2 linked regions of the Drosophila melanogaster genome follow. The protein of the gene in region 1 interacts with the protein of each later gene in a pairwise test. Each region holds a gene or a part of one and is shown on either strand. Other genes may lie near its edges.

Region 1 (4,268 bases):
CAAACAAAAATATATATAGAAATGCGTATTTATTCATTTCGGTGGCAAAATGTAGTATACTTTTGGGCTGAGAAAGTATATTTACAAATGTCTGGTTGTAGCTTGAAAACCGATAATTTTCAACTTACCGTGCAAAAATAAAAAATATTTGTGGCTTTCTTGATTCTCAACACCAGGCCACCATAATCAGTAGAAGGTGTCAACTTCTGGAATTCCAGTTCGTCAAAAATCGAATATTTACAAACTCGATTTTCTCCAAAACATGTTTAATAGTCATAGCTAACTATTACTATCACTATTTAAACGATCCTGGGAAAAAAATTTTTTTTTCACTTTTCAGATTTTCGGTAAGGGGTACCATCATTAAAATTTGCGAAAAATTGCAAAATTTTCGAAATTCCAATTTTCAATACAGGTCGATAGGGAATTTTGTTACGAATTCAACGAGGTATGACATTCCACTTTTTGACAACTATTTTTATTGCTATAAAAAAAAAATTAGTATAATTACACAATTTGTGGCAAATTTATTAGATTTTTGGATTTTAGATGTTTTTTTTTTAGATTGGCTCACCATCCTAATTTTATGATTTATGTTACTTGCTTACTGATTTCGTTCGATTGGAAATTCAATTCACAGTTGCAAGTTTTTTTTTTTAATGATTTGTCGAATTTGCTTTTTATTTTAAACCGTAAATTATTTAGAATGAAATTTGAATAAACAATACAAACTATAACTATTGATTCTGCATCTGCAATTTGCACTATTAACTTTGTAATTTATTGGTAGATAAAAAAAATAGCAAATCGGGGATAGTATACTATCTCCGAATGCTTTGGCAAAGCCGGTATCCACTTTTTCCAAGATTCCATCCATTAGATTCCTTATTCTACGTCCTGCGCCGTTTGCCCAGACTGAGATCGGTGGCTCCGCCTTCCGGCTTGAGGCGTCGCTTGCTACTCCGTCCGCTGGCCGATTTTACACCGGATACGGTGCCACTGATTCGCTGAGTCTCGGCCATGGCCAGCGGAGCAGTGGTCAACGGCAGGGGTGGGCCGTTTAACGGATGCCCAAGTGGGAGTGTAGACTCCAGGAGAAGCTCGCTTTTGACAACGGCTCCCGGGGCAATCATCAGCAGGTCGTTGCCAGCGTTTCCGTTGGCATGTCCGTGCCCAATGCCATTCCTGTGCATCTGCCCGTCGGTGCGTTCACACTTGATGTGCCGTACAGGCGGAACATCTGGATTCTCCAGATTCTCCCCGTCCGCCGCATGGCCATTGGCCATCCTATTGTCGTTGTTGTTCGGCTCCATTTGAGCCCTGATCGGATGCGAGGGCGCCTGCCGCTGCTGCCACTCGAGGATGCCCGTCAGCAGCTTAATGTACTTAATGGCCGAGCGCAGGATCTCGTTCTTCGATAGCTTCTTGTCCGGCGGATGTGTGGGCACCAGCTTGCGCAGCTCTGCAAAGGCACCGGACACGTTCTGCTGGCGCCATCGCTCCCTTGTGTTGGTGAACACCTTGCGCACACCGCCGGTGGCTCCTACGCCGCTGCCGCCGCCACTGGATGCATTGCCGCCGGAGCCATTGCCTCCACCACCGCCGCTACCGCCGACTGAGCTTCCGGAGCTGGCCGGCGCGGTCAGCAGTCCGTTGCGGGAGTGACTGCGCGGCGAACTGGACAGTGAGCGATTCGCTGCGGGCGGAACAAAGGAATCGAGCGTTATGTATATAAGAAATTGGGAACTACGGGATGTTCTAGGAGCTCTAAAGTTTTAAAGACTAAGCCTCACCATCCGCCTGGTTGCCATTCAGAACGATGTAATCGCGAAGATCCTCCTCGTCCTCCTCCGTGTCGTTGAGCGAGAAGTCGGAAAGCTCCGCGTCACCGTCTCCATCGGATATGGACTCCGTCTTGGGCTGCAGGTGGGGCGTGGCATGTCGGAGCAGGGCGGGCGGATGCCTGCCAGCGGCAGTGTCCCGCATGCTACCATTACCGTTCAGGTGCCCGGATCGCGGTGACTCGTTGGTCTGGCTGTGGCCGGAGGATCCGCTCGAGGCGGTGCTCCGTTCGTCCGCGTTATCCGCTCCGTTCGAGCTGCTCGGTAGCCAGGCCATCTCTCCGATTCGCCGGAGCAGAGGATACGTGCGTTCTGTTGCGTTCGAAGCGCAGCAGCAAAGTGAGCAACTGACTGGGTAACTGGCACTGTGTGTCTGGGAACCAACCCCCTATGGACAGAGGGCGGGGCCAATGGCGCAGCATCCACCCCCGGACGAGGCATACACACAAAATGGGCGTACTCGTACATACATATGTATGTACGTTTGGGTTACCAATGTTGGGCTGACTTCTTACCGAGCCTGTTACTTTTTGATTAGATTAGATACCAAAACATAAAACGAGTATGAGCAAACTATAATATATATTAGCATAAGCAGCTGTCTTAGAAGTAAATGAAATTCATAATTTATTTAGTAATTTAAACGTATCCAATGCCAATCCAGTAACTGCACATGCCAGGACAACAAACATTCTCAGTTGTTCCTTTCATAGAGCCCAATGTATCTATACACGACTACTGATGACCGATGGGATGGGGTATGCCCACACTTAGACGCTTCTTGGGCTGCTTTGCCGGCGGCTGCGAGGGTCGCGCCACATCGCCCACCTGCTCCCGATCCCGGTCCTGTTCCTTTCGCTCACCCGGTGTCTCCGGCATGGCGGACTCCATTGCAAACTGGGGCGATGTCCTGTCCCCGGGCGCACCATTTGCACTGGGCACAAGCACGGGCGTTAGATTCTGTCTCATCATGGGCGAGGGATTGACGAATATCATCTTGTCGAGCATCTCCTCGCAAATACCGGCGTGACCCTCGCGCACCACGCGCGGCCGGAAGATGTACGAGGTGGCCGACATGCGGGCATCCATATACTGCACCTGCACCTCCACGGGAAAGTCGCTGCCCAGTACCTCGCCAATCTCAAACGGAGCGCTGTCCGCCACGTGCAGTCGCAGCGGCAGGCGCGGCGACATCTTGAAGGTGACGCGCCGCACGAACCGCGACAGGTCGCCGCCATCGCGACCTGGGCGCAGGTAGACGCCCCACGTCGGCTCCAGCATGTAGGGCATGTCCGGATCGCACTGTTCCATGCGGCAGCCGATCACGATGTCCCGACTGATCACACAGCGCCCGGTGACAGTGATCGGCGGAGTGCGGTTGCAGCTCACCCGCTGGCAGTCATCGACCACATTCTGATGGCGCAGGAGATTTGTGTAGCTCATCACGATTCAAAAAAAAAAAAAAAAAAAAAACTAATTTCAATTTATGTTTAACTAAAAATTTTTCTACGAAAATTTGAAGGCAACTTTAACTTGTTTGCTTGGTGTGATGCTTTTTCAAATCGAGAGCGACAGCAAAAACAGAAGCCCACTAGATATGCATTTAACTAAAGTAATAACTAATGTACATATAATTTTTTATAGATTTTATCATACTACCTAATAACCGTTGCATGTCTGCTACCTTGTTTTCCCCCTCGAAGCAGATGTTAATCCCAACTTGGGATTAAGGTTCTTCAAAAGTTTCGCGAAAGGCGTTGAAATTTCAACGCCTTCGTCGTCCTACAACGGGCCATCTCCGATTTTTTCACGCCTTAAACTGTGATTTTTTCTAATTAATTAACGCAGAATTTGTTGGTGGACTAGGGAAGAGTTAGCGGACTTGGGAGTACGCAATGCGCAGACTCCGAAGGGCGGAGTTAAGTGCTAAGTCAGAGGAATTTGGGGTTGGTGCGGCCCGGGCATTTACTTGGCCGGGAATATTCCGGGCACAGCGACGTTACTTCAGTTCAGCGGGGCAGCTGAATTCTAATGTGGACATTTTGAGGATAGCGAGACCATTCAGTGCAATCTGTAGGTGCTCCAAGGCCAAGGACTTCGTTTAAAGGTCTGCTTCAAGTCCACCTGATCTGAGCCCCGTATCTGTTATATTCCTTCATAAGTTGCCAACCGAGCAGCTCTAAACGAGACTTCCCAAGGAAACCTAGTTTGGAGAATATGACACTATATTTCTGATATTAATTTAAACTGTTCATTACATTGATATAATTTTTTTACAGACATCTATCTCATCAGAAAGTAGTCAAGTGCTGAAGTAATTTCACTTGAGCTTGTATCTCCGTTTGTGCTTACAGTTCAACGCTGGGACGGAATTGTGGTGCCAGTAATGCCACCTGATGTGCTACGTCCATCCTCTAATCGCAATCC
Region 2 (5,087 bases), on another chromosome or scaffold:
GACCAAAGGGAACTGGAATAGGTAGCCCAGACATCCGTCACGGTTGCGACAACTACATGGCGATCCATTCGATTCACTTGTCTATCCGCCAGATACATTTCTCCATTAGCCAACGCTCAGCCCTCCGGAGTCCCCTCCATTTTCATTTCCATCTCCGACTATTTTATTGAGTTCCCTAGTCTGTTGATTTTTCTCATTTACTACCGACGGTTGTACTGTTGTACCAGACCCTTAACTAATGGCCATCGTTGGCCGCGAGCTGTTTGTCTTTCAGCGCCATAGAATGCCCAACTTTTTGACCGTTCCCAGCCCCCTAGATAAAGTCGGTCCATTGACACGCGGCGATGACTTGGAACCGACTAAAAAGCGAGCTGCGATCCACGAAAAAACACAGACTGCCGATGCAAGAGGCGCGTGATCTCAAAAAAATCACGGAAAAGCTATAAATAGTTGGTGTTTCGAGTCTCGCAATATACAACTTTGAAACAACCCAGCAAACTTTCATTGAATCGCATTTTACTGTATTTACTATATAAATTAGCAATGAAATCAATGCAATAATACACGGATAATTAAAAGATATTTTTAGGTACATTTTTTCTATTTTATCTTCGATAATAAAATATAATGTTCGAAATGTAAAGTAAAAAATACAAGTGATATAGCATTTTAAAGTGTGATTCTCTCCAATGTGGATGCAAAATTTCAGTTGGTCATGTGTGGTCACGCACCGCCCCAAAAATCCAGCAACTCCGCCCCGGGGTAACTTGTATTTTGGCCACATACACAAATTGACGCACCAGAGTCAAATGTTTACAACTCGAAATTCAGCTGAAAATTTTACCAAAAAAAAAAAGTGTTGGATCGGCAAACCCGTTTTGGAGTGCAAACAGACCCCGTGGAAAAAATACAAAGTTTTAATTGGTTGGACAAACAAAACTCAAAACGAGCGTCTAAACAAATCAAAGCCACTCTGCGGCGAACAACGAACAACGTACTGTGAATCCAGACCTCAGACACACCGAAAAAAACAACTCAGATTTACATTTTAATCTCAGATTATCCTAGTTTAAGGGTTTTTGTTAGTGAATATCTTGATCTTTTGTATTGCATCTATTTGATATCAACCACTTATTAAACTATTTACATATGGACTCCAAGTAGTAACTCAAAAACCATGATTATGTACAGTAGGCATTTAATGAAAGAAGTTTCAATAACAACGGATGGGATATAAAGATAAAAGATTCCTTCAACTTCCAATCTACGGCTGAGACAAGGATTCCTTTGACAAATTCAGAGCGTCTATAATAAAGATCACAAAAGATAAGAGACTTTTTCTCTCTGTGCAACAAATGTGAGCAACTGAAACACGTTACACTTAATTTTTGGCGCATGCAAATTGAACGATTAGCCACGGGGGTTACAGCAGGGGTATATAAATCCCGCCTAGGACTCCAATTCTGGGCCTTCTGAGAGTTAAAGGTGTGCTCGCCCTGAACGATCCGACCCACCTGAGAGTTCGATGTTATGGGGGCTCTCTACCTGTTGCCGGGTTCTCGATGGCGATGGCCGCAAATTGACCAGCCGGGTGAGCGAGCGAGAGGCGAAATACCGCCGCTGTCTTACCTGTTAGAGGGTGTGGCCTAACCATCCGTCAGCCAGCCGATCATCGATCGGGCCAAAACGAGATGGCTATAGGACCGGTAGAGAGCTAGCACGCTAGCCGGCCATCATATCATCCATGGGCCAAAACAAGAAAACAACAACGATGCCACGATGTCGATCGGCTGGCCAAAGACGAGAGATGAGAAATAGAGGAACCGAAAGCGCGGCTTGTGATGGTTGAAAAAATTAGCACCGATCGTTGATCATTAGCTCGGGAACGGTGGCAACGCAAACACACGATCGGCGGCAGCGCTAAACTCCAATCTCGAATCTCGACTCGAATCAAATATCTTGAAATCTTTGAAAACAAATTTCACGCGGCTGTATCTTCCCACTTGAATCTGAACTCATACGATAGTGATCCTTGATAAAGTGAACCCTCTAGGGAATTAGTGCTATAAAAGTGCGTGATTTGGCAGTGTTGCGTATTCAACTAAAATCTAAATCTAAACCTAAACCATCTTCATAAGGAGTTTACCACTGGATTATATCGAGAGCGCCGAGTTTCGGCGTGAAGCAGGTTACCAAATTGGTAAGTTAGTTGCACTTTATCTCAATTTTGGTTTCAAAATTTTAAGTTTAAACTTCATAAGAAAGAAACTTAAACGAAAATTCGAAGTTTATTTTAAGAAACGCTTGTATTCCTTTTTAAAACATCTTTATTTTCGAACAGAAGTGTTAAACACTTCGTTTTAAATGCTAATAACAGCTATTAAACATTGCGAAACGTTGACTAATCTTTTTACTATTCAAAAAAGAAAAATCAGACATTTTTACGATGGAAGTAGACTTATGCGTCGGCAAAGGATATGTTGTACTTTTAAATATATATTTGGAAATAATTAACTTTTTGAGAAGAAAATGTAAAAAATGAAGTAGAATTGTGGCAGACAAACACTGACCCCAAAACATATGGCTCCCAAAAAAATCATAAAGTCACTTCTCCGATTCAAAAGTTTGGGTGCCATAAAGTGCGAGTGTTTATTCCTCCGTGTGACATATGACCATAAACGTAATCAAATAGCAAATTGGCAAACCTATTTAAACGAACGTGTGAAAATCAAATGCCGAAGCCAAACAAAATCACCAAACAGACATATTTTGACACTTGGCCAAAAAAAGAAGAAAAAAGTCAAGACGAAGTGTTGGCGGCTCGCCCGAAATCCAACGGGCAAGTGACAAAATCCCCCATTAACGATCCTAATAATACCTCTAATGACATAAAACAGCAGCCGAGAAAGGGGCGGGAGTGGCCGTGGGCGTGGCCGACGTTCACACGCAAATTAGTGGGGACATAAGAATTTTCAGACATGCGTCTGGGTATTGCCAAAAAAAAAACATCAAGTTGGATCGATCTGAGGCGTCCAATTACGACGCATGTGAAAATTATCCTATTAAATGCAAATCAAAGAGGCCCATAAACAGACCCGAAGGAACCCCCCTCACCCCTCCGCAACGCCCACGCAGATCGTTTAGTACTTGACAAATGCTTACTAATTAATTACAGTTTGTACAAAATTTTAGTACGCCGCTCATAAAAGTGCGCCTACCACTGTGCCGTGGAGTGCTGAAAACAAAAGTGTGACAATCGGTGTTTAAAGAAACGCCCACAAATCGCCAAAAAAAATATATCGAAAATATCCTGAAAGGTCACCAAGTTCTCAATGGAGCGACCTCTGACATTGTCCTCCGGAAACATTATTGATTGCATTAGAATCGAGCCAATTCACGGCTATTTCCATTTCAGTTCGCCCACGCAGTATCTAAATTTAAATTCGGTTTATTTTCACGCGAAGTGGTGTGTGAAATTTAGCAGATTCGGTTTAATCGCCTCCAACTGGCTACCAGTGACTTGTCGTCATCCATGCCACCCGCCAGCATCCTGAGCAGGTGCGAAATATTGTCCTTTTCAACAAAGTGCGAATGGGAGTGGGATAAGTCGATCGGAGTAGCGAATAAACAAACAGAGCATTTATTATTGCACGTGTTCGATTACCTGAGAGGAGGGCAATTGTGGTTATTGCTTTGAATTATATAATAGATACACTGGTTTTTATATTTTATAGAAAATCGATAGGTTAGCAACATCATCTCTAACTAATTTTAATACATTTAATATTTTAGCATTTATTGAATTTCATGTTTAACTACAAATGCAGCGCGGAATCAGTTAAAGTTGAACTATAATAATATTATTATAATTATTATAATATAATGAACTATTATAATAAAATGCTGCAAATTTAACATGATTTTTAGTGACTTTAGTGATAATCGTTTAAGAACCATTAGAGTGCGCTGGCACTCCTTCCTTTAAAAGTTAAAGCTGAACCCATCGAAATGTATCTATGAGATTCGCCGAATGTGTTTCCATCGGCGACCATTAGTGCGTACCTGTACATTGAGTACGTAAGCGCCATATTACCAAAGGTTCGCTTCGATTTGGAATAGCGCGCACATTTCATACGAAAAAAATAGGAGGAAAAAACCCCCTCAAAGCGTCTGAGTAAATATCAAAGTCACGAAATGATTCAAAAATCAACAGAGCCAACAACAAAGCGGCTGGCCCGAGATGGGGAAAGAGTCCAATGCAAACCCCAAGCCCCAAGCCCGAAAACCCGTCATGGCTGCCATCAAAAGTCAAAGTATATGCCACATATATACACATGGGCAAACAGTCACACACGCTTCCTCCGCTGAGGAGACAACACACAAAAACAGCTTTTCATTAAGCTTAGTGATGGAGCCGGAGCTGGGACACCGCGTCTTAAAATCGTGGTGCTGGAGTGGCGCGGTGGTGCGGATCGATGTGGAACACAAACACGGCCATGAGACGAGCCATGTGGCGGGGAGCCATGTGGGGGAACCAGCGTCATGAAGAGTGAATTTTTATGATGTCGTCGATGTCGCCTATTGGGCACATGAGAAAAACCCGCCAAGTATCGCGTGAAAATTATGATAATGCGGAGCGAGCACGAGCTGGGAAAATCGGAAACCTTTGAACATTCATAAACTGAATATAACTTTCGAATGCTGGCCCAAAGTGGTTGAACTTTTAAACTCGGCCGATTGAATTCGAATTGAAACTTTTAATTGGGCCCAGCTTCTGGTTGAAATGGTACGGACATTCGGGCAATAAGATGTCCCTGGTTAGTTGACAAGTATGTTATATTAAAGTTGGTATCCACTTTTAGAAGTTAAAATTGAAATTTATCCAATGTAAATGTATCTTAAGAGTTCTGATTTGATTCGTTGTCAACTCCACAACACATGTTTTCGAAAACAGCTCGCTTTGATTGATTCGCTCTCCTTACTTTATAATTTAATAGCCTTCAGATAACACATACATATGCATCCGCTGATTGATGATTGATTTGATTATATGTCTTGTTTTCACCTAGAACCCGCAGGAAAACCTG

Evidence for each region.
Region 2: the proteins of HLH3B (region 1) and byn interact in a two-hybrid assay, tested with the Drosophila melanogaster proteins (one large-scale study listed by BioGRID).

Annotation. Positions count from the first base shown.
Region 1 is NC_004354.4:2,679,541-2,683,808, forward strand, and holds HLH3B (helix loop helix protein 3B), read right to left. Parts: upstream 2,184-4,268; 5' UTR 2,119-2,183; coding exon 1,794-2,118; intron 1,697-1,793; coding exon 891-1,696; 3' UTR 659-890; downstream 1-658. Other genes in the region: CG2652 (uncharacterized protein), read right to left, coding at 2,577-3,284.
Region 2 is NT_037436.4:11,925,824-11,930,910, forward strand, and holds the start of byn (brachyenteron), read left to right. Parts: upstream 1-1,869; 5' UTR 1,870-2,200; intron 2,201-5,087. UniProt on the Drosophila melanogaster protein: Required for the specification of the hindgut and anal pads.